Sus scrofa: one gene and its partners. The main gene of each other region encodes a partner of the protein of the gene in region 6 in a complex. Links are inferred from orthologs where the notes say so. Each region holds a gene or a part of one and is shown on either strand. Other genes may lie near its edges. The genes, in order: CRNKL1, RBMX2, SNRPF, SNW1, DLG4, CRIPT and SNRPD3.

Region 1 (3,793 bases), on a different chromosome or scaffold from region 6:
GCTAGTCAGGTTCACTCACTGCTGAGCCACAATGGGAACTCCGGATGTGAGATTATTTTAAACCACTGATCCTGTTGTATCCACTTATGAAACTCAGTGAGTTATGTATGAAATTCTGAGACATTATCAAAAGGACTTAAATAGTGAAAAACATTTTCTTCTTAGGAACAAATGTAGAGAATATTAAAGTACCAGGTAGTTGTTTCAGGCAGTAAGAAAATAATTCTGCCGATTATTCTTTATATCAAAGGTTTCTTTCTTTCTTTGCATGTAGGACTTTAAAGAAACACTTGTGACTGTAACCTTCCTTAATGGGTTTTTTATTTCTTAAGGATTTGAGGATGTAATTTCTCCTAAACAACAAAATGAATAATTTTCCTAGTACAAAATTTAATAGACAAAACTTGATGTCATTTTTAGTTATTTTCCCTTTAATTTGACCCTTTTTCCCTCTTCCCAGACTTTTGAAGATAACATAAGGAAAAACAGGACTGTAATTAGTAACTGGATAAAATATGCACAATGGGAAGAAAGTCTAAAGGAGATTCAAAGGTAAGATCACTGCGCCTGTAATTGTGTACATAAAGATTCATAAGTTACCAGATACAAAAACCTAGAACGAGTTAACACACGAGTAAAAACGTGCCTGTGGCAATAATTTCCAAAGTTTGTTCCTGGAACCTGGGGTTCCTTCAGGGGGCCTAGAGGCCCCATGGTAGGACAGTCCTGGGGGGAGCTGGGGACACTCTGCAGGTGGGTCTTGCCATCAGCACACACTCTAGAGCCAGAGAAGTGCAGTTTCATCTGCTTTCTATAAATTGAGATTTTTTTGTTAATTAAAATTATTCCACTGAAAACCATTGGCCAAAATGGTGAAAATCACCACCTGACTCTTCCTCTTGTCCAGCGTGTCTTGCCCTCTCCCAGCATGCCCCCTGCCCTGGCTGTGCACCTGTGCTTGCCACTCCCTGTGCATGTCATGTTCACCTAGCTCACCCTGGCACCTGGCTCTTCTCTCCATCTGAATGAGCATCCTCCCCACCTACCTTGGCCTCTGGAACTTTCCCCAAGTTCTCACCTACCACTTAGCCTTTGCCACCAGACATTGTTGTTTCTTCCCCTTTACTTCTTCGTGCAAGACCTTGACTATAACCTTTATCATGTTGCGTTGCAATTTCATGCATGTCTGTCTTTCTCTGGGACTTTTTAAGGTTGCTGAAAACATCACATCTTTTCACCTTTTTGTGCCCAGAACCTGGCTCATGGTAAACACCTGACAAAACAGCAGAGCAGGGCAGATGGTTTCAAATAGTTGCCACATGTGTGGCATGTACTGTTTCTGACATCCTCCAAATCTTCTCAAGGGCTCGGTCCATATACGAACGTGCTTTAGACGTGGACTATCGGAATATCACACTCTGGCTGAAATATGCAGAGATGGAAATGAAGAATCGCCAGGTCAACCATGCCCGGAATATCTGGGACCGGGCCATAACAACTCTGCCTCGAGTCAACCAGTTCTGGTGAGTTTCTGACCTAAGGAATGCCTTTTTAGCCTACAAAGTTCCATGTTTCTGTGTATTTATTTTATTTACATAGTTGTATGTATTTAATTTTATATGCTACTTTTTCTTTAAACATCCTGTCAGTACTTCCTTAGTGTCTCTTAGTCTTTTAAGTCATAACTATGATGTATAATGGCTGTGTAATCAAAATTAAATTTCAGCTTCTATCTTTTTTTTTTTTTTTTTGGTCTTTTCTAGGGCCACACCTGCAGCATATGGAGGTTCCTAGGCTAGGGGTCTAATCGGAGCTGTAACCAGCAGCCTACGCCACAGCCAGAACAACATGGGATCCGAGCCGTGCCTGCGACCTCCACCAAAGCTCATGGCAACACCAGATCCTTAACCCGCTGAGCAAGGCCAGGGATTGAACCCGAAACCTCAGGGTTCCTAGTTGGATTCGTTAACCACTGAACCACGACGGGAACTCCCTCAGTTGCTGTCTTTTATGCATAAGAAATCTCTTGTTGAACTAAGTGATTTTTGAGAAAAAATACTCTTTTTTCCCGATGATTTATCCTTTTTCAGATTTATATTTTAATAAGGAAACATGTTTGATTTAACCTTAGGGAAGAGAAAACCCTAAATCTTCTTTATTTTTAATAAAGTCAGAGCTAGAAATTGCCAAAGACCGTTGATTGCCCTAAGACATTTTGACGGTGGTAGCTAACTTTGGATGTTTTTGTTAAAGGTACAAGTACACATACATGGAGGAGATGCTGGGGAACATTGCCGGGGCCCGGCAGGTGTTCGAGCGCTGGATGGAGTGGCAGCCTGAGGAGCAGGCCTGGCACTCCTACATCAACTTCGAGCTGAGATACAAAGAGGTGGACCGGGCCCGCACCATTTATGAGCGATATATCCTCTGCATACGTCTGTGTTGTGCCGTTACTGTCCCTGTGCTGCATCCCTCTGGGGCTGTCCTGGTGGGGATACACTGGGTCATTGATGTTGGCCTAGATGTCAACATCTGCTTCAAGCTTCCTGTGTATTTTTAGGGACATAGGTGGGTCAGGTAAAAACTTGTGATCTGATCAGTCGCATCTTTTTCCATTGAGACTTTGGTTTGTTTCTCCTTTGGTCTTAAGGCTGTGGTCCTTGTGAAAGATGGCATACTAAGGACCTGGCTGCTGCAGCCAGTCCTCGTTTGTTCTTGGTATATGTTGGTCATTAGCACTGTCCCTCTAGTCTATTCAGGACTTCACATTGACTGACTGTGTGACCTCAGTGAGTCGGTTAACGCCACTGAGCCTTAGTGTCCTCATCTTGAATTTGGTTTTTGTTTTTCGTTTTTTGTTTTTATGTCTTTTTAGGGCCGCACCCATGGCATATGGAGGTTCCCAGGCTAGGGGTCGAATCGGAGCTGTAGCCGTTGGCCTATACCACAGCCACAGCAACGCCAGATCGAAGCCACGTCTGTGACCTTTGCCATACCTCGTGGCACCACCAGATCCTTAACCCACTGATCGAGGCCAGCGATCGAACATTTGTCCTCGTGGATGCTAGTCAGATTCCTTTCCACTGAGCCACGATGGGAACTCCTGTGTCCTCATCTTGAAAAGGGAACTGTGAGTTCCTGTGGTGGCTGACTGTGAAGAGTAGATGGTAACACAGGCAAGCACCATCAGCTGAAGGAGTTGGTTCTCGTTGTTCTCTGTTCTCTCAGCTGTGGATTCTCTTGCTAAAATTTATTTGTAATCCCCGAATCAGTATTCATGGTATTTCAGCAGTCATTCGAGGACAATCTCAGTGTAATGAAAAGTTTGAATCACCCAAGGCACATGGTCCCTGTTGAGGACAAGCAAGATGACCATCTGCCTTCTTGGGTCTGCTCACCTGCAGAGGTGACCAGGGCAGGGGACAGAAAGGGCCATGCAAGGTAGAGCCAGGCGCTCGGGCACTGGGGCCATCTGGACAGGGCTGAATCCTCTTTCTGGCACCACTTAGTGGGTGGCCTGAGGCAAGTCATTTAACACTTCTGAGCCTTGTTTTCCCTTTTATAAAATAAAAGAGAATCTACCAACAGTAGTTGTTTATAGGATATAAGATCACAACCTTTGTGAGATATGGTATTTATACATTTCCCCCAGGACCAGTGATTGGGTATTCACTAGCTGTCAGAGTGACTTCAAAGAATATAACTACTGCAAAAAACAAGGCTCAACTTAATTATGCAATTTTCAGATCTTCATTGTGACTACTCATTTTGATGTCATTAGTTCAATGAAAGC
Region 2 (4,418 bases), on a different chromosome or scaffold from region 6:
AATTCAGCAAAGTAGCAGGAGATAAGATTAACATTCAGAAGTCAGTTGCATTTCTGTATACCAGCAATGAAATTTTAGAAAAGGAATACAAAAATACGATACCTTTTAAAATTGTACCTCACAAAATCAAATACCTCAGAATACACCTGACCAAGGAGGTAAAGGACCTATATGCCGAGAACTATAAAACTTTAATCAAAGAAATCAAAGAAGATGTAAAGAAATGGAAAGATATTCCATGTTCCTGGATTGGGAAAATCAATATTGTAAAAATGGCCAGACTACCCAAAGCAATCTACACATTCAATGCAATCCCTATCAAATTACCCATGACATTGTTCACAGAACTAGAACAAACAATCCAAACATTTATATGGAACAACAAAAGACCCAGAATCGCCAAAGCAATCCTGGAGAAACAAAAACCAAGCAGGAGGCATAACTCTCCCAGACTTCAAGAAATACTACAAAGCCACAGTCATCAAAACAGTGTGCTACTGGTATCAAAACAGACAGACAGACCAATGGAACAGAATAGAGAACCCGGAAATAAACCCTGACACCTATGGTCAATTAATCTTTGACAAGGGAGGCAAGAACATAAAATGGGGAAAAGAAAGTCTATTCAGCAAGCATTGCTGGGAAACCTGGACAGCTGCATGCAAAGCAATGAAACTAGAACACACCCTCACACCATGCACAAAAATAAACTCCAAATGGCTGAAAGACTTAAATGTAAGACAGGACACCATCAAACTCCTAGAAGAAAACATAGGCAAAACACTCTCTGACATCAACATCATGAATATTTTCTCAGGTCAGTCTCCCAAAGCAATAGAAATAAGAGCAAAAATTTACCAATGGGAACTAATCAAACTGAAAAGCTTTTGCACAGCAAAGGAAACCCAAAAGAAAACAAAAAGACAACTTTCAGAATGGGAGAAAATAGTTTCAAATGATGCAACCGACAAGGGCTTAATCTCTAGAATATATAAACAACTTATACAACCCAACAGCAAAAAAGCCAATCAAGCAATGGAAAAATGGGCAAAAGACCTGAATAGACATTTCTCCAAAGATATCCAGATGGCCAACAAACACATGAAAAAATGCTCAACATCGCTGATTATAAGAGAAATGCAAATCAAAACTACCATGAGATATCACCTCACACCAGTCAGAATGGCCATCATTAATAAATCCACAAAGAACAAGTGCTGGAGGGGCTGTGGAGAAAAGGGAACCCTCCTGCACTGTTGGTGGGAATGTAAACTGGTACAGCCACTATGGAGAACAGTTTGGAGATACCTTAGAAATCTATACACAGACCTTCCATATGACCCCGCAATCCCACTCTTGGGCATCTATCCGGACAAAACTCTACTTAAAAGAGACACGTGCACCCACATGTTCATTGCAGCACTATTCACAATAGCCAGGACATGGAAACAACCCAAATGTCCATCGACAGATGATTGGATTTGGAAGATGTGGAATACTATGGAATACAATGGAATACTACTCAGCCATAAAAAAGAACGACATAACGCCATTTGCAGCAACATGGATGGAACTAGAGAATCTCATACTGAGTGAAATGAGCCAGAAAGACAAAGACAAATACCATATGATATCACTCATAACTGGAATCTAATATCCAGCACAAATGAACATCTCCTCAGAAAAGAAAACCATGGACTTGGAGAAGAGACTTGTGACTGCCTGATGGGAGGGGGAGGGAGTGGGAGGGATCGGGAGCTTGGGCTGATCAGACACAACTTAGAATAGATTTACAAGGAGATCCTGCTGAATAGCATTGAGAACTTTGTCTAGATACTCATGTTGCAAAAGAAGAAAGGGTGGGGGAAAAATGTAATTGTAATGTATACATGTAAGGATAACCTGATCCCCTTGCTGTACAGTGGGAAAAAAAAAATATTAACCCCACCTCACAATTGTTAAGGATTTCATAGGAAATAAATTCCCCTACGAATGTTTCCTTCTTCATCTGTAAAATGGGGATATTGGCACTTACCTCACAGAATTGTAATAAGAATGAAAATAAAACAATGGCTATAAAGTGCCTAGCACAATGTCTGTTGTAATAATCTCTTCGAATAAACTGTCAAATTACAGAATGTGACACAGTGAATATGGAAATGATGATGTGGCCATGGACGGGGAAATAAATTCTGCGTGAAGGGTAATGAAGGGAGAGGGAGTTGGCAGTAATACCGGATAGTGGCTGATACCAGGAGTTCTCAAACCCCACAGTTCTTGCTGTTCCACTTGCTAGCTATGCGACCTGAAGGAAGTCCATTAACTTTTCTGCATCTCAGTTTCCTTAGGTGTATAACTAGAGGACAAGAGGATGATAATAACAGTCTCTGAGAAACCAAACGGCACGATTCTTAGCACACTGAATGGCAGGCAGTACCTATCATGAACGCTGATTTGGCAGCGAGAGCAAACTAGAAATGAGCTAGAAAAGCGACCTGGAAAACGGATTTATAGGCCGACAGTGGAAGTAAATAAAAGTGGGTGATGAATGTCGGGAGGAATGATGGGCGGGAATGCTGAAATGTTAGGAGGCAGGCCAGGAGAGAATGAGAAGCCCTGCGGGAGAAAGATGTGGGCCTCACCTAGGAAGATCCAGGCGCTGTCCTTGTACTCGGAGTGCCAAGACACCTTCTCCGCCACCCCCAGCTGGACCTCACGCTCATTCAGCTCGTTGATCAGCTTCACTTTAGTTAAAGGGCTGCACAAGGGGCGGAAAAGCGGACAAGTAAGCGCGGCCTAGCCTGAGGTAAAGGAGAGCAAAACTGGGAGACTAATTTTCTAGTATCTGCGCCTCCCCCGCTCCTCAGCCTCACAAGTGCTCTACCACTCCAGCTTCAGTGAACTACCCCCGGCCGCCTGTCCCCTTTTCCCAAAAGGAACCTGAGGCCTTACTTCATCTCCGCGGGTTCGCCCTCAGCACCTAGGAAGCGACTTCCGGGAGAGGCTGCAAGACGCATGCGCGACCCGGCGCTGCGCGCCCATTGGTCTCAGCTGCGCGCTTACGCCGCGCCGGAAGAGCCGGGCCGCGCTGGGGCGTGGCGCCTGCGCACTACGTCAGTAAGCGGCTTCTCTTGTTCCGCCGATGTCGCTCTTTTTCTGTAGACCCTCGCTTCCACCGTGCTTGGAGTTGGACGAGGGTGCGAGCCTGGTTTGTTACAGGACTCCGAACTCCTAAACGATGCCTGGCATTTATTGGGTTAACTATAAATGTTTTTTGAAGGAAGACTTTGAGAGGTGCCTGATAACGGCGACTTGAGTCCCATCCTTCTCTTCCAGTGCAAATCCTCATTCTGTCCTTAACTCCCAGCCAATTACTCACACGCACACCGCCATGAAAGCATCCCTGTTCAGGAGTTACAGCAGAAATGTGAAAAAGCTGTGTGAGAGGGTAAATCTTTTTGTCTCAAATCGCACCGCATAGGCAACTGACCACTGTGCCTCCATAGGCTGAATTGAATACCCAGATTTGTGTGAATGCTGCTAACCGTTTTCCATAGTCTGTCTGCTACTCAAGCAGGAGGTAGGAATTGGTATTGTTAAATTAATAACTAACAGTTGAGCAGGTAATGATAGATTGTGTGCTAAGCAATTTACATGTATTGGCCCTCCTGTGAAGGCTTAGATACAATTATCCTCCCCGTTTCGTAGCAGAAACTGAGTTTAAAGGAGTTAAATAACTTGGATGGTACTCTGTCTCTATCCATCAGATCCACTTGATTTATCGGTCCTTACTGAGCATCTGTATTTGTCCTATACAGTAAGTCTGCAGATGGGAATGTAAGGTTGGGTTCTCTGCCTTCAAAGAGCTAATAATATCATTGAGGAGACAGGGCTTGATAGATTTGACTCCAGAAATAATCAGGAACCTGTAGAAGAGATGATGGCATGTAATGTGTGAATTAAGCCATTCTGAAGATTCAAATCCATCTTGCATGTGTCCACATCAATTCTGGCCTTAGACCATGCAAATTATGTCAAAGTCAAATTATGGGGCTGTATAGTTCTCTGTGTAGGCCTAGCTCACAGCCCCAGAAATTAAAAGCACTTTGATGATGGTGACAGTGACAACTGTACCCTCAATGGTTCACCATGTACCCAATGTCTTCCCAAGAAGCAGAACAGGCTGCCCACCAATGACAGTTTTTGTGTCTGTCCCCCTCCCCCACTTCCAACCCAGCTATTCATTAACTTTGTAGAATTACCTTGGCAATGAAAACTAAACAGTGACAGATTGCATACAGGTTTTATCTGCTCCTAGAAACCTTAGGTTGCTTAGTTGTAGGGTTGAAGTAGTCACTGCAAAGTGGTAAACTAGCATGCAGCATTATCTGGATGGATTCTTCAGGCTATTGTGAAAT
Region 3 (4,432 bases), on a different chromosome or scaffold from region 6:
GATAGTTCCAGCCTCTTTCACATTAATTACTATCTCACAGCCTTGCAGATAGAACTGTTTTTAAAGCCACATGAAACTGAGGAAGCAAACGCCTTCGGGAGTTAAGAAACTGCCCAATACCATTCCCACGTGATAGACGTTCTAAACTCAGACTGCCTCTAAAGTCTTAGCCACTACTCCACAATACCGCAACATTTAAATCTCAATTTTTTCTTCTTTCTTCTTATTTGTCTTTTTGTCTTTTCAAGGGCCGCTGCCGTAGCATATGGAGGTTCCCAGGCTAGGGGTCTAATCCGAGCTATTGCTACCGGCCTACACCACAGCCACAGCAATGTAGGATCGCAGCCGGATTGTGACCTACACCACAGCTCACGGCAACGCCGGACCCTTAACCTCCTTAACCCGCTGAGCAAGGCCAGGGATAGAACCCGCAACCTCATGGTTCCTAGTCGGATTTGTTAACCACTGAGCCACGACGGGAACTCCATAAATTTCAATTTCAAATTCAACTCCTTAGGGCTGCAAAAACAAAAAACAAAAAAGAAAAAAAAATTTTTTTAAAAGAATGTATATATGTGTATGATTGTGTCATTTTGCTGTACAACAGAAACTGGCACAATGTTGTAATTCAGCTATACTGAATTTATATGCAATTTATTTATAATATATATTACATGTATATAAATTTATATCCAAAATGTTTTAGATATATATATATTTGAAAAAAATAAATCCAGTATGAGGACTGTAGTGGGCCTCTGCTCGCAAAGCACAAGAAACAGGTGGACCGGGAGGCCACCACACCGTATTTTAGTCTCTGTCTGACCTCATCTGAAAAATATTCTGCAGTTGACTTTCTTCCGGTGCGTTTCACCTCCTTAAGTCTATCTAGTCTTGCTTCTTCCACTTCCTCTGAGATGGGGTGAAATGAGCACTACAGAATAGAGAGCCATCAGGTAGAACGGGACTGTGGCAGAGGAGTCCCCATGGCTCAGGATCTGTGGGAAAATGAAGAAGAAACTTGAGAGCCCCGAGCTCGTTTTCCCAGGTGTGCAAAGCCAAAGGAAACTCCACCAGCCAAGTTGGCGAGAAATCACGTCCATTCTGCAGGACAGACAGCAAACCCTCGAGGCAGGCGAGCAAACAGGCAACTCGAGCCACCTCTCTGCCTTTGCAGTGCCGCAGGTATCAGACCCATGCTGCTGAAGGTTTCCTATTTCCTGCCCCCGCCGGGAAGGCGCTCGGAAACTCGAGCCTGCTGGTTGCCAGGAGACAGGCCCCAGTCACTTCCGCCAATCAGCACGCATCTTTTTGCATCCAATCACAGAAGCCGGAAGAGCCGTAGTCGGAGGGGAAAGGTCACGCTGCTATTTGGCGGCCATTTCTCTGGAAGCTTGGTGGCTGGGAAGTTGCTGTAGCCAACTCCAGTCCACGAGGGCCGGACGGCGCTGAGTCGGCGGCGGGTAGTCTGCAGCATCTGCCCACTACAGCAGCAGTAGTCGCGATGGTAAGGAGAAAGAGAAGGTCAGAGTCGCCCGTGTGGGGGAGAGAGAGAGAGAGAGAGGGCGGGAGGGCGGGTGACCAGCTTCGCCGGGCCTTCGCGCGTTTCCCATTCATCCGCGTGAGGCCCCGCGCAGCCTGTGGCCAGCCCCTTTCTGCCAGTTCTGGGTGTCTGACGCACGCCCTCCTTCCCCTCCCTAGGAATGTCCCCTTCCCCCTCTTCTTCGTTTGAATCTGAGCCTGAGCTGCTCTTGCTGCCTGGGACCACAGAGTTGGAGTAAAGATGAAGCGGTTTTTCACGTACAGCTTACAGCACTCCAAAATCCGCTTTTGTCTGGTGATGCTGGGAAGCCCTGCAGCCCTTTGGAATACTGAGCCCGAGCTTTGAGCATTCATTTGTTCTCTTAGCAAATTTTTACTGAGCTCCTGCTACCTGTCAGGTGTGTTCTAGGAACTAGGACTATAGGGCGAGAAGTACTGGTGTGGCCCCTGCTCCAGTTTAAGTCGGTGTGAGAGAGAGAGAGACATTGATCAAATAACGACAAATACATAATTTCAAATAAAGTTAGTGCTAAGGAGGAAGCACACAGGATGCTATGAGGGGGTACCATGCTACGTTAGAAGTGTTTAAGGATGGCATCTTTGGGAGAAGGGATTTAACCTGAAACTTAAACGATATGAAATACACACCCTTAAAGAGGCGGAAGAGTGTATACACCAAGCTCAGGAAACATGAGCATAGACTCTGAGCCTCGAAAGAAAGCCTGACCAGTTGGAGGAATTGAGAGAAAGCCACAGCTGCTTGCTAGGATGGAGTGTTGGGCAAGTATTAGGCAGTTTTAGGAGGTCTGAGTTCTACTCCCGGGTCTACTTTGGAAAGCCATCAAAACATTTTAGGTAGAGATATGATGTGATAAAAAATACTTGCCGTGTGGCTAATAAATTGGAGAAAGAAAAGAGTGAAGACCATAGAACTATTTGAGATCACTCTGAGTATGCTTATCCTAGAGGGGTTTAGTAGCCAAGTTTCTTGGTTCTTTTCTCTCTTTGGGTGGATGGGCCAACAGATGAAGGAAGGGGGAAAAGTCTGAATTCGTTGGAGATACTGTTGCATTTGCTGAATAAACAAACATTAAGTGATTGATTGCCTATATGTAGGAGTCACTGCTAAGTCAAATAAGATCCAGGCCTACCTTTTCATAGTGAGAGACTCAATTATGATCTGCCCCTGCCTCTTCAGTAACTTCATACAAAACTAACTTTTATGTCCCTGAGATCACCTTGCCGAGTCATTCTTCCCTCCTTTTGCATAGGTAGCCTCCTCTGCCTAGAATAGCCTCTTTCCCTCTGGAAATATCTGTCATCCTTTAAAACAGGCATTTACTTACTTCAGGCAACTCTTCCATTTCTCTTAACACTGGATTGTTTGGTATCATGTAATAGCATTCTCCTCTTACTACATTACAAAGTAATTGCCCACTCGTGTATGTTTTGACCCTTCCCTCCCACTGTAGGTCTCTTAAGGACAGGGACTGTCATCTGCCTTTTTTTTTTTTTTTCTTTTTTTTCTATTGCCTTTTCCTTGGTTTCATTATATTTTTGGAACAGTGAGTGAATGTTTCTTAAGTGAACATTGAATAAGTCTTGATGGGGTTGATGAAATTGACTGGCTGGATATTTCTTTGAAGTTCTTCCACAAATAAAAGTGAAAATTATGTAATAACGTGAGATGGAGTCAAGAGTTTGCTTCATTTGGATACCACAGCATATTGGTAATTTGGCAGAAAAGAGTAGGTAATAGAAACCAAGCTAAAGAAACTTATTCAGTTGGGTTCTTTTTTTGTTTTTGTTTTGCAGAGTTTGCCTCTCAATCCCAAACCTTTCCTCAATGGGTTAACAGGGAAGCCAGTGATGGTGAAACTTAAGTGGGGAATGGAGTACAAAGGCTACCTGGTGTCTGTAGATGGCTATATGAATATGCAGGTAAGTGGAAGAGTTATGAAGATCATTAGATTGTATTTATTTTTCTTCATGTGACTTCTCAAAGGTTTGGTGTGACTTACAGGGATATAATTAATTGACAAACAAAGCAAAATTAAGGGGTCAAATCAAGGCTAAGGAGGATGTTATAATTTGATGAACTTTGTATGAGACATATTAAAAATTCAGCCACAGGAGTTCCCCGTCGTGGCGCAGTGGTTAACGGGCCCGACTAGAAACCATGAGGTTGCGGGTTCGGTCCCTGCCCTTGCTCAGTGGGTTAAGGATCGGGCGTTGCCGTGAGCTGTGGTGTAGGTTGCAGACGCGGCTCAGATCCCGCGTTGCTGTGGCTCTGGCGTAGGCCGGTGGCTGTGGCTCCGATTCAACCCCTAGCCTGGGAACCTCCATATGCCGCGGGAGCGGCCCAAGAAATAGCAACAACAACAACAACAACAAAAAGACAAAAGACAAAAAAAAAAAAAAAATTCAGCCACAGATTTGATTCCCAGGTGGTTAAAAGTAAGAAGAGCTCAGGCGTTTGATTCACAATGTCATAAGAAAAATATACTGATTTGTGGGGAAAGCAAAACATCCCAGCACTTGGTCCGAGAGAACCTTTTCCAGTGAAATTCGTGTCTTTTGATAAATGCTAAATGTACAAATCTAAGTAATTTGATAGAAGCAGTTCTTAAGAGAGAAGACAGACCAAAGGAATTGATGAACTGACTGTATCCGATAAACTAGTTCTGTAAATGTTTGAGCCAGGTTTTTTGTTTTTTGTTTTTAATAATGGTAAAATATATATATAACATAAAATTTACCACTTTAACCATTTTTAAGTGTGCAACTCAGTGGCATTAACTACATTCATATTGTGCATTCATCACCATTATCCATTTGGGAAGTGAAACTCTGTATCCACTAAACAATAACTTCCTATTCTCCCTGCCCC
Region 4 (4,583 bases), on a different chromosome or scaffold from region 6:
GGTGTAGGCCGGCAGCTACAGCTCCGATTCGACCCCTAGCCTGGGAACCTCCATATGCTGTGGGAGCGGCCCAAAGAAATAGCAAAAAGACCAAAAAAAAAAAAAAAAAAAAGTCATTGAAAAAAATTCAGAAACTATTATCATTAGGCATATCTTTAGTCATCATATTAGAAAAGTTTATTATGAAACCATTATATATATACATATATAACATAAGATAAAGCAAATGAGTAATTATCTTAACACATTAGGTACCAATACCATCATCTTCAGAAGAGATATGCATATAAAATCAAAGTTAGGTAAAATCTGTGTAATCCTAATCTTGCATTGGAACTATTAGTATGAATGCATGATGGAGTTTCTCAAAAAGTATGATTGGGAGTTCCCGTGGTGGCGCCGTGGTTAACGAATCCGACTAGGAACCATGAGGTTGCGGGTTCGGTCCCTGCCCTTGCTCAGTGGGTTAACGATCCAGCGTTGCCGTGAGCTGTGGTGTAGGTCGCAGACGCGGCTCGGATCCCACGTTGCTGTGGCTCTGGCGTAGACTGGTGGCTACGGCTCCGATTAGACTCCTAGCCTGGGAACCTCCATATGCCGCAAGAGCGGCCTCAAAAATGGCAAAAAAAAAAAAAAAGTATGTGGATATGTGAACTTTCTAGCTCTGTCCACTGAAAAGGTTTACAAACAGCAATTGCCCAGTAACAGTGAGCATTTGTAGCATCCAGGTCTTTTTCTCTAAATATCACTTTTCCACTTAAAGGAAAGCTCCTTGGAAAAATGACTGATTGAAAGTCTAGGGCAGAAAAAGTACTAAACTAGCCTAGAACGTCGTGTCACACCAGAAATCAAGAGTTGGAGGTGGAGTTGGAGGTGGTGTTGCTGCCTCTGCTCATACTACGGTGTTTGGTTTGTGAATATTCAAACTATACACTTCTGTAGGCAACGTTTCTGTATGTGTGCTATGCTACTATTAAAAGTTTGTTTCTATACCATGGAAAGTTTCCAACGTATAAAAAAGTAGAGAGAATTGTATAAGGAACACCATTTCCCCATTATCTAGCTTCAACAGTGATTAAAATTCATAGCTAACCTTGTTTCATTTACAGTATATTCCATCCACCTCCCTCTTCCCACTGTGAAGATTTCGTTTATCCTATCACTTCATCAAAGACTATGTTGAACCCACAAACTATGTAAAAGACAATCTAAGCCATACATACATAAAGACATACATACATAATACACCTAAGGAGTGTTCCAAAGATAATTACTAAGGATCACAAAATACCTCCCCTGGAGAGTGTTTTGGAGGTGGAGTGTTACGTAGGGAACCGCGTGTAAAAACTTTTGAGTATGAAAGTTTTCAGAGCGCCCAAGAACTCTCTATTCTCCAGTCTCACAATTTCCCAACCATTTGATTTAACCCAACTCTTATTTAACGTTCCCCCCCCCGCCCCCCGAAGGCTTTTGTATTTGGAACCATAACAAAAGAAATGAGACAGAGTGGGGAATAAAAAAAGACTTAAAAAACATCTCAAATTTGTTAGTATTTTGCCTAGGGAATGCTGTATCATGTCATAGTGTAAGAGTGATGCATTTGCGTTTTCTTAACTGAAGCGCTTATTCTGTAACTGGTTAGAAAAGAACCAAATTGTAATCTTGCGCAAAGAACTACAAATCCCAGAAGGCCCTTCGGCTAGGGCGCCTGCGCATCGCGCGCTCCTTCCTCTCCCCAACCCTTCGCGGGTAAAGACCCGCCCCGCGGTACTGTCGCTCGCGCTGGAAGAAGCGGAAGAAGATGGCGCTCACCAGGTGGGTTGTTGATTGGGGTCCTCGATACGGAAGGGTCTGGGAGTACCCTCCGTTTTTATTTCTCTGTTTATAGTCTCCGGGCGGTAGCCAGGCCCGGGCCACAGAGCGACTAGGCCAAGGCTAAGCCCTCCCTCCAGCCGCCGGGACGACTAGGCCTCTCCGAAGCTGGGGTCTTTCCCGAGTGGCTTCCCGGGTTGAGTTCGCCCCCTCACTAGGGCCGAAAGCCGCGGCATGGCGAATAGTTCTCTGGTCTGAGATGCTGAGGATTCGCACGTGTTTTTCGCTTAAGCATTTTGGGGTGGTGGAGATCGCTCCTTCGGGTCCGCGGCTCGGGTGGGCGCGATGGGGGTATGGAGGGCAGTGGCTTATTTGTCTGGGCGGAGTGAGGCGGGCAGGAGGCGACGGCCGGGCCGTTTGTTTGCCGAAGTCTTTTCTTTCTCTGTCCCGAAACAAGGATTCCTTGAAAAACGGGGCCCGACACTGAACGGAGACTTCACATCAGCCACAGTAGTGGCCGCTGTCTCCTAATTCGCGCCGCTGCTCCGCACTTTAACATCGGATCTTAGCATTTCTTCCATAGATAGAACTACTTCACATTTTTGCTGTTCCCAGTTGCCTTGGCAACCGCAAGTAAAGTGGTCCCCGCCCTTAAGAAAAAGATGCTTAAGGAGAAATATTCCTAGTTGTTACGTAACTCCTACTAGTCTGCGACCTTGTTGCCCCATCTAAGAAGAAAAACTTTTCTTACCAACAAACGCCGAAACAGAAAAAGTTGGGTGTCAAACAGGGTAAGGAAAGTAGTCGTGTTAGGAGATCCGCTTGGACTCCCTAAACACGCTTCATTCCCCTCATACACATTTTTCCTGGCTGATGACAGTTAAGAATCCTAAAGATATTCGAATTAGTTCTTTGGGGGATAACTTTCGGGTGCCTTGGTCTATCCTAGGGACTGTGTATATATAGAAGGAAATCTGACAGTCCTTGGCTGCAGGGAAGATGAAGTACAGGAATATAGATATTAAAGGACAACACAGAATGCTTATTGTGTTGTACTAACCTTAATTGCAAAAAAATAAGATGGAATGGGCTAGATGAACTGGAGAGTTTTCTTTAGTAAATAAAGGTTGCAGGCAGCAAATATTCGATTGAGTGCCCTCCAGATGGGAGGCAGTGTGACAAAGACTAGTAGAATTAGGAAGAAAGGCTTTGTGGAAAAAATGGAATTTGAAAATACCAGACATATTGTGGTTATTTTGTGCTTAAAATTGCAGTGACAGAGTTCAGTCTTTAAATAGTTTGTCTTAGGAACTTACATAGCTTTCTGGTTTTGTTGAGTTTTAGCTGACTTGATTTTTAGAGATGGTCTCAAGTTTTCAGGTAAAATATTATTATCTCTAAGATCTACCAGGGATTCTTAACAGCAGGGACTTGACATATTGATGTATTACAGTCTTGGTATCACAGTTGATTGTTACTAACTAAAGATCTAAAGTCATACTGATTTAACTTTCTGAACTCCTGTATTTAAGGTTATGTATCAAATAATTTCATTTGCATTTAATACAATTTCTTTAATAAAGGGGAAAAGATAGACTAAGGTGCCTGTACAGTGGCACTGTTGACATTTTGGACTGGATATTTCGTTCTTGTCTTGGGCATATTAAGATGTTTAGCAATATCTTTGGCCTCTACTCACTAGATATCAGTGGCACCTTCACTCCCTCTCTCCCCTTTACCCCCCAAATTCTAACAATCAGAATAGCTCCAGACCTTGTCAAGTATCTACATTGTAGATAAGTTGCCCCCTGTTGAGAAACACCGAAGTAGACTTTCTGTTTACATATGCAGCCCACTCCCACTATAGAAGTGTATTTCATTATGGGAATGTCATCCTTTATGGGGAACAAGGAGATTAAGACCTTCTGGAAGGCTACGGTGTGTTCTCACCATAATCCAGGTCAGGCTACCTGTTTACTGGATTGTCCAAACTCTGCTTTGGCAGGGTGCCTGCTTTTTGATCATTTTAGTAACTAGTTCTATCAACAGTGCGTTAAGGATCCCACATTGTCACTGCTGTGGCCTTGGTTGCTGCTATGGCTCGGGTTTGATCCCTGGCCTAGGAACTTTTGTATGCCGTGGGTGGGGCCAAAAAGAAAGAAGGGGAAGGAGGGGAGGAAGAAAAGAAAAGAGAAATGAAACAAATATTTTGGCTTCTTTGTTACTGTCTTTGTATCCCTCCCATGTATTGGGTACTGCATGGTTTACCAAAAAGCCCAGAATTTTGATTCCATTCATCCATCCATTTATTCATTCACTCAGTAAATATGCATGTGTTGAAAATCCACCATGTGCAAGGCTAGTGTTGGTTTTACAGCATTGAATCAGTCTTATCCTCACAGCTTACATTCTAGGGGAGACAGACTAGGAGTAAACAAATCAATGATGCAACTTCAGGTATTAAGTACTAAGAATAAAATACAGATAAAGGGATAGAGAGTGACTCAGTGTGGAGTGGAATGCTGTTTTGGTTAAGGTGGTCATTTAGCAGCTGCGAGGGAGGTATAGTGGAGCTGGGACATGAATACTAAGAAACAAGCACTAAAAAGTTTGGGAAAGCGTTTTCTTGATAAGTAAATAGAATTTTTTATGGCAGTGGAAAAGCAAATGTAAAGATCCTGAGACGACTTGTTTAAGGAAAGGCAGTAAGGTTGTAGTGACATAAAAATGGTGAGTGCAAAGGGTAGAGTGAATTTATTTCTCTTGCCAAT
Region 5 (4,350 bases), on a different chromosome or scaffold from region 6:
GCCGGTTACCATGGCAACGGCGGCAGCAGCGCGGGGAGAAGAGGGAGGGACGGGGGCGGAGTGGGAGAGAGAGATGTTCAGAGACAGAGAGACACCGGCAGAGAGATAGGCACGGAGTAAGACTAAGTGATAGCTGTAGAGGCAGAGCGAGCACAATGCATAGGGTCCGGCACAGAGTAAGCAATCAATAAATGTTCCTTAAATTACTGCGGCAGGAGTCTAAATATAGGCAGTGAAAGATGGAGGACTCAGATGGAGCTGGGAAGCTCAACGACCGCAAAGCATGAGCACCCTCTACCCCACCCAGCATTTGGGGGGGGACGGACAAGTGCCATGTGCCCCCTGCTGGCTCCTCCTAGGCTAACCCTGCGCTGCCCTGAATAGAGATGAACCACAAGTCCCAACAGCCCCACGGGCAGCAACCCTCTAACACTGAGGGAACTTGTGCCTCAAGGCCTTGTGGGACTTGAAGTCCCCGCCATCCCGAGACAGACAAGTTTTGCGGCCAAGGAATGTGGCAAGCCTGGGTCTCCACGCCTCTGTAAAAGCCCCAAAATGCATGATCCTCTCTGCGTAAGACTCCTTCCTTCGGGAATGCTCAACCCTGGGCTCCATCGAAGAAGCAGGGTTCTTGAAGGAAGACGAATAACCCCCCCACCCCCCGTCCCAGAATAGCTGCCAGTGCAGGCAAGCCCCTCACCCTCGCTGGCATATGTGTGTTCACGTGTTGGAAGCAGAGCCCACACATTCCAACTGGCTTTCCGTATACACCTGCACATAAGGGACTAGAGCCAGGGAGCCTAAGGCTAAGGGGCAGGCTACGGGCAGGAGACCACCGGGGAAACTGAGGATCAGACAGACATTAAAGGAGAGCAGCCCAGAGAAACTGAGGCACAAAAATCCACGGAAACTACAGGGGATGAGAGGAAGCAGCAGCATGGGAGAAAGCCCAAAGCCCGCAGAACAGGGGATAAGCAAGTAGCTCTGGAGAGGGGGTCGGGGCTGGGACCTAAAGGTCCTCCGCTCCCAGTCGCCTCTGTCCAAGCTCACACATGAGCGAGGCATGTATAGACGCATGTGTACACACATGTGTGAGTTTGTGGCAGGGAACATGTGTGTCCTCAGCTCCCTCCCCTGAGAATCTGCAGTTCCCACTAAATATAACCCCCTCCCCAGCCTGTGACTCACCCAGACCCCGCCTCCCCGGCCCCCACTTCCTGTCCCACCCCCCAACCCCCAGCTGCCTGCCACCCGCCCAAGCCTCCCTCCACACACCAGGCATCCAGCCTCCCAGTCCCAGAGTCCTAGAGCCAAGACCAGGGTATTCTGCATCCCACCAGGAGCTTGCTAGCTCTGCCAGCCAGGATCTCTGGCACTCCAACCACAGGGATAGCCTTGTACGGATCTTCCCGGCTGCCAGCCCGGCCCTCCTCTGACTCCTTCTCACCCCAGTAACCTTAAATCCAGGTGTCCTCCCCCACCTTTATCCCAAGGGTCAGGGGTAACAGGAACATCCCCTCCACCTGCTCTTCTCCCTCTTTCTCAACCAGGGGTAGATATTGTGTGGGAGGAGATGGGGGTGATGGGCATCTGCCTGGGCCACCCCCAAATTCTGCACCATGCACCTGGTCCCCCTCCTCAAATCCCCTCTCTCCCCAAACCTCTCCTCCTCCTCCTCCTCAGGAGCTGCCAGCCTCAGCTGCTGCAACCTTCCACCACCCAAGGGAGCACCCCCAATCCTAACCTCACCTGGTCCCTTCCCTCAGGTGATCCTATGTCAGGCCCTAGCTCGCTGACAACTCCCAACTATCCCCATTCCGTAAGCTGGAACCCTAAATTAACTGCTCCCCCAAAATGAGAGCACCCCCAAATGTATCTACCACGAGACGCTTCTTCTATAACCTGAAGGCCTTCCCCTTCCGTGCCAGCTGACACCCCCAGACCAGTCAGGCCCTCACAACCAGTAACCTCCTACCCCCAAGCCAGGAGCCCCCCTGAAATTGGACAAGACACCTGCAGACCAGTTTGTCTCCCAGGGGAGAAGGGGACCCCCCACGCAGAGCCCCTCTTCTAACACACACCGGGCAGGACTCCCATGTGAGCCAGGCTTCTCCTTAAATAAGTCTCCCTCAAACATCACTGGTGAAGCTCAGAATCCACCAGCCCCCAAGTCACAGAATACCCCCTATTTTCCATTTCTCCCCAGGTACAAAGGGATCACTCCAGGGGGCACCTGTGGCCAAACCCAGCATTTTCTCAGCCGTGAACCCCCAAACTAAATTATGACCCCCAAATCCATCTTCGGATGCTCTCACGCCAGGGCCCCCGGGCGGCAGATTAGGCCTGACAAACCCCTCCCCACAAACTCTCACCCTCCCCCCAGGTGACTGGCCCCCCCATCACGGCTTACCTTGGTTGTCACTATACAGAGACAGTCCATGTTGGGGGGCCTGGCCGCGGCGGCGGGTAAGGGGCTCTGACTTCATCGGAGTTTCGTTCCTCCCCTCCCTGGGTTCTCACCCCTCCCCCCTCCGCACCCCACTTTTGCAGGGGGGGCCAGGATGGGGGGAGGGGTGAGAGGGGAAAGAGGGGGTTGGAGAAGGGGAGGGGAGGGGAGCGTGGGAGGGAGGGGAAGGGGGCCCTAAAAGGGGGTCCCCAGTGGAGGGGAGGGGGCTTGGGGAGCACACCCCGATTCTCAGGAGGGGCGGGGGCACCGGGGGCTGGCAGCCCCGGAGTTCGGGGGCTGGGGCATGAGCTGAGGTGGGGGAGGGGAGCTGGATTTCGGGGAGCCCCGGGGTAAGGGGGGGTCTTGCCTAACGGCCAGGGGCTCGGGGCCGTGGCGGGGGAGTGGGGTGGGGGGGTCGGAGGCGGCAGCGGCCGAGGGAGCCGTGGAGCCGAGGAGGGAAGGGGAGAGAGGAGGAGAGAGGAAGCAGGGGGAGGGAGGGAGCGATCGAGGAGCAGAATGGGGGGTGCCTTGGCAGGCTTAACTCCTTCCGCGCTGGCAGGAACCCGGATAATGGGAAAGGAGATGGAGGCAGGAGCGGAGAGGCCCTGAGGCCAACATGGAGGCCTGGCCAGAGCCACCAGCGCTGACAGCAGAGCCAGGGAGGAGGAAGCAGCCCGAGATGGGCTGGGAGCCGCCAGGGTGGCGGGGCCGCTGGAGAGAGGCTGTGCTCGGGGCAGGCAGGGAGGGAGGGCCAGGCACGAGGGAGTCCCTGGGGGCCTCAGCTCCCTCAGACGCACAGGAGGAAGCCTCAAGAGTGACTGAGTCCTGGACCCTTTGGGGCCTGCAGCTGGGGCAGGTGAAGAGGGGGCTGCAGGGGCGCCTGACTCCGGCCGTGGTCCCAGGGCCCCCAAGTCTCAGGGTAATAGTAGCAGTGCTTTGCGCACCCCTCCAGCCCTGCCTGCTCCCTCGGGAAGTCGGGCCCCCACCCTCACCCCCTTACCTGGCTCTCTGAGATGGAAGCCTCATAATAGTCCAGGATGTCTGTCACAGGAACAGAACCACCGAGTTACCTCGCCCACCCCCTGCCTCTCTGGCCGCCCCTGCCATCACCTCACCTCCGTCTGCCCGCTAAGGGAGGAACCCCTCCAGCCCGGGCTGGTGGACGCTGATGGAGGACCCCTGCCTGGGGCTCCTGCAGCTACCAAAAGATCTCCAGACTCCCAAGCAGCCCCCAGGCCAGCCCTTTCCACGGCTGCCCCTCGGAAAATCGGGGCTACTCACCCAGCAAGGCCTGGAAGAGGTCACTGTGCAGCACCGTGAGGAGAGGGGGTGCCCATCGCAATAGTGGGGGGGCCAGGAGCCAGAGGGCTGACCTGGGAGCTGGTGAAATGCAAATGAGGGAGGATTGGGACAAGGGAGCCAGCCACGAGGCGCCAACACATTCACCTCCGCCTCTTATCTCTGCTCTCTCACCCCAGACTCTCTGGAGAGGTCCAGGACAAGGACCCCCAGGCCCACCCTCTCCCCCCAGGCCTCTCCTTCACAAGGACTCCTGTTTTTCACCTCTGGGTCCCTCGGACATCTCTCTCTTCTCTCACTTTAATCTCTCTAATCCCCCCAGGGTCAGAGGAGCTGAGCTGCCTCCTCCCGACCCAGCTGGACCTGCCAGGCAAAGCAGGCAGCCTCCGACCCGCCCGCTGTGCCACCACCATCACCATCTTCCTCCTCACACCCTGGCCCCTCCCCAAAGCCAGGTGTGACCCCTCCACTTTCCTGAAGACTGGGCAAGGGGGTCAGCTGCTCCCACAGCTCAAAAGGAAAGGAAACTGTCACTCTCTTCTGGGCCTGGCCCCCGTGAGAATGGCAAAGGGGCATAAATTATCTGGGACTTCTGGACCCAGGGT
Region 6 (3,793 bases):
ACTCACAGGTCCTATCATGAGTCCCTTGCATTGATCTTAGTTTAAAATTCCAAATTAAAGCACGAGACGATACTTCTTGCCCTCAGAGCTATTATTATTTATTATATTTTGCATTTTATTGTGATCTTTCTGGGTAAGAATAAGGATGACCTTTGGGTGGTGGAACTTATAGATAACTTAAACAGTTAAAACTTTAAATACTTTCTATAATAATTTTAAAACAAATAAAAATGTGCCATCTATACCATGTGTAGCATCATGTTATCTCCTCTACACATTTGATAGTGATATGTATTTATACTGTACTTGGCAATGGGGAATACTTTTTTCTGTCTCCCACAGTAAGTTAACAGGTTTCAAAAGCAAAAGTCCTGTGCCTCTGAAGGCAACATAGGAAAAATCCTTGAAACCTCAAAGTAGTCTTTTAGCAATCTATGTTACATATATTTAACTTGCTTAGAAGTTCCCGTTGTGGTATAGCGGAAACGAATCCAACTAGGAACCACGAGGTTGTGAGTTTGATCCCTGGCCTCGCTCAGTGGGTTAAGGATCTGGGTGTTGCTGTGAGCTGTGGTGTAGGTCACAGACACAGCTCGGATCCCGCATTGCTGTGGCTCTGGTGCAGGCCAGCAGCTGTAGCTCCGATTCGACCCCTAGCCTGGGAACCTCCATGTGCCAGAGTGTGGCCCTAAAAAGCAAAAAACAAAATAAATAAATAAATAAATAAAAATAAAAATGTTTGCTTAGTCTATTTATTTGGCGGGGGGGGGGGTGGAAAAGGAGAGGAAGTAAGAAAAAAAAAGTTTAGTTTCTACTTCAAAGCACTTTCCCAAAGGATTGTGATCTATCATGATAGATGCACACTGTTCTCTTGGCTTTCATGATGGTCTGAATTCAAGGTAATGTGTAATACGTGTTTTTCTCAAATCCAGTGTGTTGATGTGGACACATAGAGGGTATCCCTTGTGTTCCTGTTCTCATGTGAAAGGTACTGGCACTTTGGCTTCAAGAACAAATCAAAAATACCACAAATACAACTTTTGTTTGATTTGGGTCTGAGCTAATCACTTAGGAACTATTTAGCAACAATGGTCTCAGATATTTAAATGCTCTATGAAGCCACAATTAATTAAGGGACTGCTGACCCTAAGAACTATATGAATAAAAAGGGGATGAGTGAAGAATTACAAATCTAAATGCCAAGTTCAAAGCCAATATTAATAACCTCCTTCTCACTTTTTCAAGATCTACATATAAAGTAGAAAAAAAGATAATAAAAATTATATGAGTAATGATAAATAAAAAGTGCATACAGAACTGGGAAAATATTTTTTTTGTTAATTTATCACTTATTCCAGTTCAGTAAGATATTTGTAAGGAAAATAAAACCTTTAGGCAGAAAACTTTATACTGTTGCCATTCAGAACTTCTTGAGAGCAAAAGAATGAATACCCATCTACTTCCCTGGTTTAAACGTAATTATCTAAAGGCATGTTATTTTGTAAATTGAATATCTATGTTATACCTTGAAAATTCAAAGCAAAAAGTAAATCATATGGAAAGTAGATACTTCAATACATTTAGACAGACGTTTGTTTGTAGTTTTTGGTATCCAAAACCTTTTTTCCACACATAGCGCAGATGCCTAAAACAAACAAACAACACATGTAAGCAATCAAATGATAACTAATGACACCAATACCAACAATTTAAGTAGCTAATACCAACAATTTAAGTTGTTCCTGAAGCTTAAAATATAATTTAACAACATCAGAAAAGGGAAAAATAAAATATATACTTTTAACTACAAGTTCTAAGTTTCAATTTTGTCTTAGAAAAAAGAGCATTTGACTAACAGGATTTATGATGGGCTACTCCTTTACTATGTTATCAAAATCAATATCAAAAGAAGTAGGTTTGATATGAATACAAAAATGGTATTAAAAGACTCACCCTTTTTGTAAGCACAGCCCTGGCAGTAATGAGAACCCGGCTGGTGCACAGAACTTTTACAAATTCTGCAAGTGGAGAACTTATTCTTTCCATATGGGTCAAATCTAAAGGTTATTTTTTAAGAAAGAAAAATGTATAATAAAGACACTTAAATTTCACTTAAGCAACACATATGATTAATCCATGCTCTCTGTTCTTCTATCGAACTCTATTGTTGATAGTTATAGCACTCTTCTAGCTGGCCACTCTCTTATTTACGAAATAAAGTTGATTTACAATGTCTTAATTTCTGCTGTACATAAAGTGATTCAGCTATATATATGTGTGTGTATATATACATACAGATACTCACACACACACACACACACACACAAACTCCTCTTTTTAATATTCTTTTCCATTATGGTTTACCATAGGCTATCGAATATAGTCCTCTGTTCTATACAGTAGGATCTTGTTATTTATCTCCTCCAAGTAAAATAGCTTACAACTGCTAACCCTAACCTCCCACTCCCTTTCCTAACCCCCTCTTCCTTGGCAACCACAAGTCTGTTCTCCTTGTCCTGAGTCTATTTCTGTTTTGTAGACAGGTTCATTTGCGTCATATATAATTTATTAATTTATTTATTTGGCAGCAGCATGCAGCAGCCTGATGTGAGGATCTCAGTTCACAGACCAGGGAGTGACTTGGGCCGCAGCAATTAAAGTGTCGAATCCTAACCACTAGGTCACCAGGGAACTCCTGTTTGTGTTATATTTTAGATTCCACATACAAGCGCTATCATATGGTATTTGTCCTTCTCTTTCTGACTTAACTTCACTGAGTATGATTATCTCTAGTTGATCCATGTTGCTGCAAAGGGCATTTCATTTTTTTTTATGGCTGAGTAGTATTCCATTGAATTTATGGCTGTATACACTCACCTATCAATGGACATTTAGACTGCTTCCATGTCTTGGCTATTGTAAATAGTGCTGCTATGAACATTGAGATGCTTGTATCTTTTTGAATTACAGTTGTATGGCTACATGCCCAGGAGTGGGATTGCTAGATCCCACTCTATCCTTAGTTTTCTGAGGAAACTCCATACTGTTTTCCACAGTGGTTGGGTTGTACCAATTTACATCTTCACCAACAGTGTAGGAAGGTTCCCTTTTCTCCACACCCTCTCCAGCACTTGCTATTTGTAGACTTATTAATGATGGCCATTCTAACTAATGTGTGGTGGTATCTCCTTATAATTTTGATTTGCATTTCTCTAATATTTAGTGATGTTGAGCATTTTTTAATGTGCCTATTGGCCATTTTTATTTCTTCTTTGGAGAAATGTCTCTGCAGTCTTCTGTCCATTTTCCGATTGGGTAGTTTCTTATATCATTGTTGAGTTGAATGAGCTGTTTGTATATTTTGGAAATTAAGCCCATGTTAGTCACATCATTTGCAAATATTTTCTGCCACTCTGCAGGTTGTTTTTTCATTTTGCTTATGGTTTTTTTTTTTTTTTTTTTTTTTTTTTTTTTTTGCTGTGCAAAAGCTTGTAAGTTTGATTAGGCCCCATTTGTTTCTTTTTTGTTTTTATTTCTATGCCTTGGGAGACTCATCTCAGAAAACACTGGTATGATTTATGTCAGAGAATGTTTTGCCTATGATCTCTTCTAGGAGTTTTATGGGATCATGTCTCATATTTAAGCCTTTAAGCCATTTCAAGTTTGTCGTCGTGTATGGTGAGTGTGTGTGTTCTAACTTCAATGATTTATAAGCAGCTGTCCAACCTTCCCAATACCACTCGCTAAAGAGAATGTCTTTTTCCCACTGTATATTTTTGCCTCCTCTGTCAAA
Region 7 (3,322 bases), on a different chromosome or scaffold from region 6:
CCAGCAATGCTGCTTACCGTGAGTTCTCACAGGAAGACCAACAAAAACTGTCACCTCCAGGTTGTGTCCTGATGATGACAAGCTTGCTTCTTTCTCTTCCTCCAGCACTTCAACAATTTGTTCAATGAGCAACGTTCTAAGGGCGGATACTCAACCCCTTTTCTGCTGGAGTGCATCCTTCCTACTCGGCACCCCAGTAGGACCTCTTTTTAGTGTGTGACCACTCCAAGCCATGGATCCAGTTTCTATGTTCTTGGTCAGCTACCTGCTCTGCACACCCTGACCTCTCTACTTACCTTCGCTATGTTAAGAACCTCAGCTGTGCCAGTCAACCCTGAGGTGCTCCGGTAAAGTGCCAAGAACCTGTCCCCTGTCATAACACTACATATGAAGCTGTACAGGAGTCTTGAGGTTCTCTGAACTACCTCTCGATACTGATTACTTTTTTGAATGCCACCAGGGTTTCACAGGCCAGGACCACGTGTGTCATGATGTTCACAAACACCGTGTAAGTGCCTGTGTCTAAGGATGGTGAGGCCATCTATGTTTTTGGAGCTGTTCCAAGGGCTTAACTAGCAACCAGCCTGGAACAGCAGCTTGCATTCGCTTATCAATAACCACTACTGGCATTTCCCCAGGACATCTCAGGGTGTCAAAGTTTAACCTGCTGCCAAAGCAAACAACAAAAAACTCCAAAAGGAACACAGTCTTTGTATCCTCAAAAAGAAAAAAAAAAAATTTATTTAGTGTAGCATTTCCCCTGATCTAAAGAAAAAGATGCCAAATAACCTAGGACATATACACCAGCACACACCTTCCTGCCTCACAACCAGATAACCTAAAGAAAACATGAGGGCAAAGTTCTGTCCAACAGATAAATTTATCTTCGCTTCTGGAAAATGTTTCCACGGCCCATTCCACGTCCTCTCCCTCTCGCAGCCACTGAAAGGTAAGGAAGAGGACAAGGCCAGGTCAGTGAGTCCTCCGCCAAGAGCAGCCAGCACCCCAAGACATCGGCCCAGGAAGGGGCTTGAAAGGCCACCCGGTCCAGCACCACGTCTGCCCTATCACATTTCATGGGGGTTGGGCATGGAGGAATGGAGACCCTGGGAGGAGACCAGTGTCTGGCATCAGAACTGGAAGGCCTCCCACCTTCCAACCCAGCACTGGTCCCCATGAGAGCCCAAGTCCTGAGAGCGAAGGTGTTTTATGAAGCCAGTCTAGGAACCACAGAGAAGCTTAAGTCTCAGAGCTGGCCCAGGGTGAGCTAATAAAACATGACAGATGCATTTAATTCACACTTAAAATTGTGAAACAAACATATTAAATGTTAACATCTATTGAATCTGGGTGAGGGTTTTTATTATTTTCTGAGCTATTTTGCATGTGTGAAATGTTTCATAATAGGAAGGAAAAAAACATAGACAAAAAACAAAAACCACTCCCCATATACAGGGCTCAACAAGACTGCTGTCTCTGTGACCCATGGGTTCTAGGAAGGGCCACTCCTTTGAAGAACAAGTGAAAATATCTGATGGCAACTAACTGCCCCCACCTCCTCTCATAGAGCCCGGAGCTGACCAGAAGAGGGAAGCCCTGTGAGAGCCTGGCCACTAGCTGGGAGGACCATAGCAAGGGGATGGGAGCGGCACAGAGGCTCAGGTGGCAGTCAGGGGGCCACTGCCAAGTGCCTCCCAGTGTCTTTTGCTAGGGAAGCTGGTACAGTTAGTGACAACGAGGGCAGCCCTCCCCTGCAGAGAGAACAGCAGTTCTAGCACAAAGCTGGCACTTCTGAAAATCACTGCTTCTTCAGGACAAAAGGTCCTGAGCTTCTAGTTCTATCTCCCTATGACCACTGCTCATCTAGGAAGGGCAAGGAGACTGTCTGATCAGCTTTCTGGAGGGCATTTTAAAGGATTACTCTGCTGGGTCTTTGAATTCAAAAGCTGCCTCACATAGAACAAATGTATAGCAGCTGAAGACAGTGAGGTGGGAATCCAGTGACCTTTCTGCACTGGAATCTTCTCATCAACACTAAGACTGCTCCTAATGACTGCACTGGCTTTCTTAGCTAATCAATAGGGGGAGCAGAGCTTTTCAGGACCCAAATATAAAACTGATTAGGCTAACCCAGAAAAAAGGTCAGACCAAGTAACCAGGAAGAGACTAGTCTTTCCAAATGCACTATAAAGGAAGGACTGTTTTCAAACATTAAGAAGCTTCAAAAATGTAAGTTCGGCCCCCTTTAATGAATGGGTAAAAAGATGGCTCACAATTCCTTCTCATCTGAAAATGGATTCCCTCCACATTTCCCCTATTGATGCTGGGAATCAGTAGACACCCCCAGCCTCTTGAGAAACTATTACCCCATTGCTTTTAGAAGTCACACTGCAAGGGGCCTCTGCTCAGCAAACTGGACCAGGGCCAACTTTCCCCAGAATTTCCAAAAACAAAAGGCCTCCAAGACTCATTACAGGACACATTTGCTCTTTCATTTAAGTCCTCATCTTTTTTCCAAGGAGCCGCCTGGGATTTTGCATAAGCCTGTGAACAGGATCAGGTGGCAGTGGGTGTGGAGACACTGAAGTCAGGTCACCCACACCTCAGCAATAACAAGGCCCATTCGTAAAAGGTACAGGACACACTCACATGTCACAACCAGTGCAAGAGGAGCACCTACCTTGGGCCTTCAGAATAGCAGCTTTTCCCCGACCGGCTCCTGAGCCTTGGTTTTTATTTTTCATGCTCTTTAACATGGGTGCGTTTTTCAGCATGTCAGGCAGAATCAGAAAGCGGATCTTGCTGCCACGGATATACACCTGCTCCAGCTGCGCCACTCGGCCGTCTCTGTATGTGACTGTGATGTTAGACATCTGGAAGGAATACCAGCTGGTGAGGAAGGGCCAACAGTGCCAGCAGAGAATAGTGCCCATGGAAGACAAACCTCGGCTAGTGGAAGGGGAGTCCAGAAATACAGAAACTGGCACCACAAAATAAAGCTGGGCAGACTCAAGGGCACCTACTGTGCTGAGCGCTTTACATATATGGTACTACTCATAGTAGCAGAGTCCCCTCCCTCCCTTTTTCTGTCTTTTTTAGGGCTGCACCCATGGCATATGGAGGTTCCCAGGCTAGGGGTTCAATCAGAGCTGTAGCCACTGGTCTACGTCACAGCCACAGCAACATCGGATCTGAGCCATGTCTGTGACCTACATCAGAGCTCACAGCAACATTAGATCCTTAACCCACTAAGCGAAGCCAGGGACTGAACCTGTGTCCTCATGGATGCTGGTCAGATTCGTTTCTACTAAGCCATAAATGG

What was found.
Region 1: CRIPT (region 6) and CRNKL1 share a complex: the UniProt entries of both Homo sapiens proteins name them as parts of the minor spliceosome. The link is inferred for Sus scrofa from reciprocal best matches to the Homo sapiens genes CRIPT and CRNKL1.
Region 2: CRIPT (region 6) and RBMX2 share a complex: the UniProt entries of both Homo sapiens proteins name them as parts of the minor spliceosome. The link is inferred for Sus scrofa from reciprocal best matches to the Homo sapiens genes CRIPT and RBMX2.
Region 3: CRIPT (region 6) and SNRPF share a complex: the UniProt entries of both Homo sapiens proteins name them as parts of the minor spliceosome. The link is inferred for Sus scrofa from reciprocal best matches to the Homo sapiens genes CRIPT and SNRPF.
Region 4: CRIPT (region 6) and SNW1 share a complex: the UniProt entries of both Homo sapiens proteins name them as parts of the minor spliceosome. The link is inferred for Sus scrofa from reciprocal best matches to the Homo sapiens genes CRIPT and SNW1.
Region 5: the proteins of CRIPT (region 6) and DLG4 are in contact, whole or in part, in a crystal structure (PDB 5HED), measured with the Rattus norvegicus proteins. The link is inferred for Sus scrofa from reciprocal best matches to the Homo sapiens genes CRIPT and DLG4. Residues at the interface, in NP_063972.1 of Rattus norvegicus: Lys94, Asn95, Tyr96, Lys97, Gln98, Ser100, Val101; in NP_062567.1 of Rattus norvegicus: Gly322, Leu323, Gly324, Phe325, Asn326, Ile327, Val328, Gly329, Gly330, Glu331, Asp332, Glu334, Ser339, His372, Glu373, Ala376, Leu379, Lys380, Arg399, Phe400.
Region 7: CRIPT (region 6) and SNRPD3 share a complex: the UniProt entries of both Homo sapiens proteins name them as parts of the minor spliceosome. The link is inferred for Sus scrofa from reciprocal best matches to the Homo sapiens genes CRIPT and SNRPD3.

What each region holds. Positions count from the first base shown.
Region 1 is NC_010459.5:28,105,219-28,109,011, reverse strand, and holds part of CRNKL1 (crooked neck-like protein 1), read left to right. Parts: intron 1-460; coding exon 461-552; intron 553-1,364; coding exon 1,365-1,523; intron 1,524-2,253; coding exon 2,254-2,420; intron 2,421-3,793. UniProt on the Homo sapiens protein: Involved in pre-mRNA splicing process. As a component of the minor spliceosome, involved in the splicing of U12-type introns in pre-mRNAs.
Region 2 is NC_010461.5:106,879,486-106,883,903, reverse strand, and holds the start of RBMX2 (RNA binding motif protein, X-linked 2), read right to left. Parts: upstream 2,993-4,418; 5' UTR 2,958-2,992; coding exon 2,953-2,957; intron 2,759-2,952; coding exon 2,643-2,758; intron 1-2,642. UniProt on the Homo sapiens protein: Involved in pre-mRNA splicing as component of the activated spliceosome. As a component of the minor spliceosome, involved in the splicing of U12-type introns in pre-mRNAs.
Region 3 is NC_010447.5:87,619,812-87,624,243, reverse strand, and holds the start of SNRPF (small nuclear ribonucleoprotein F), read left to right. Parts: upstream 1-1,380; 5' UTR 1,381-1,504; coding exon 1,505-1,507; intron 1,508-3,357; coding exon 3,358-3,483; intron 3,484-4,432. UniProt on the Homo sapiens protein: Plays a role in pre-mRNA splicing as a core component of the spliceosomal U1, U2, U4 and U5 small nuclear ribonucleoproteins (snRNPs), the building blocks of the spliceosome.
Region 4 is NC_010449.5:100,746,543-100,751,125, reverse strand, and holds the start of SNW1 (SNW domain-containing protein 1), read left to right. Parts: upstream 1-1,711; 5' UTR 1,712-1,801; coding exon 1,802-1,815; intron 1,816-4,583. UniProt on the Homo sapiens protein: Involved in pre-mRNA splicing as component of the spliceosome. As a component of the minor spliceosome, involved in the splicing of U12-type introns in pre-mRNAs.
Region 5 is NC_010454.4:52,571,116-52,575,465, forward strand, and holds the start of DLG4 (disks large homolog 4), read right to left. Parts: upstream 2,829-4,350; 5' UTR 2,441-2,828; coding exon 2,411-2,440; exon of another isoform or gene 2,406-2,410; intron 1-2,405. UniProt on the Homo sapiens protein: Postsynaptic scaffolding protein that plays a critical role in synaptogenesis and synaptic plasticity by providing a platform for the postsynaptic clustering of crucial synaptic proteins.
Region 6 is NC_010445.4:93,915,666-93,919,458, forward strand, and holds part of CRIPT (cysteine-rich PDZ-binding protein), read right to left. Parts: intron 2,058-3,793; coding exon 1,954-2,057; intron 1,646-1,953; coding exon 1,581-1,645; 3' UTR 1-1,580. UniProt on the Homo sapiens protein: As a component of the minor spliceosome, involved in the splicing of U12-type introns in pre-mRNAs. Involved in the cytoskeletal anchoring of DLG4 in excitatory synapses.
Region 7 is NC_010456.5:49,595,403-49,598,724, reverse strand, and holds the end of SNRPD3 (small nuclear ribonucleoprotein Sm D3), read right to left. Parts: intron 2,874-3,322; coding exon 2,681-2,873; intron 943-2,680; coding exon 881-942; 3' UTR 710-880; downstream 1-709. UniProt on the Homo sapiens protein: Plays a role in pre-mRNA splicing as a core component of the spliceosomal U1, U2, U4 and U5 small nuclear ribonucleoproteins (snRNPs), the building blocks of the spliceosome.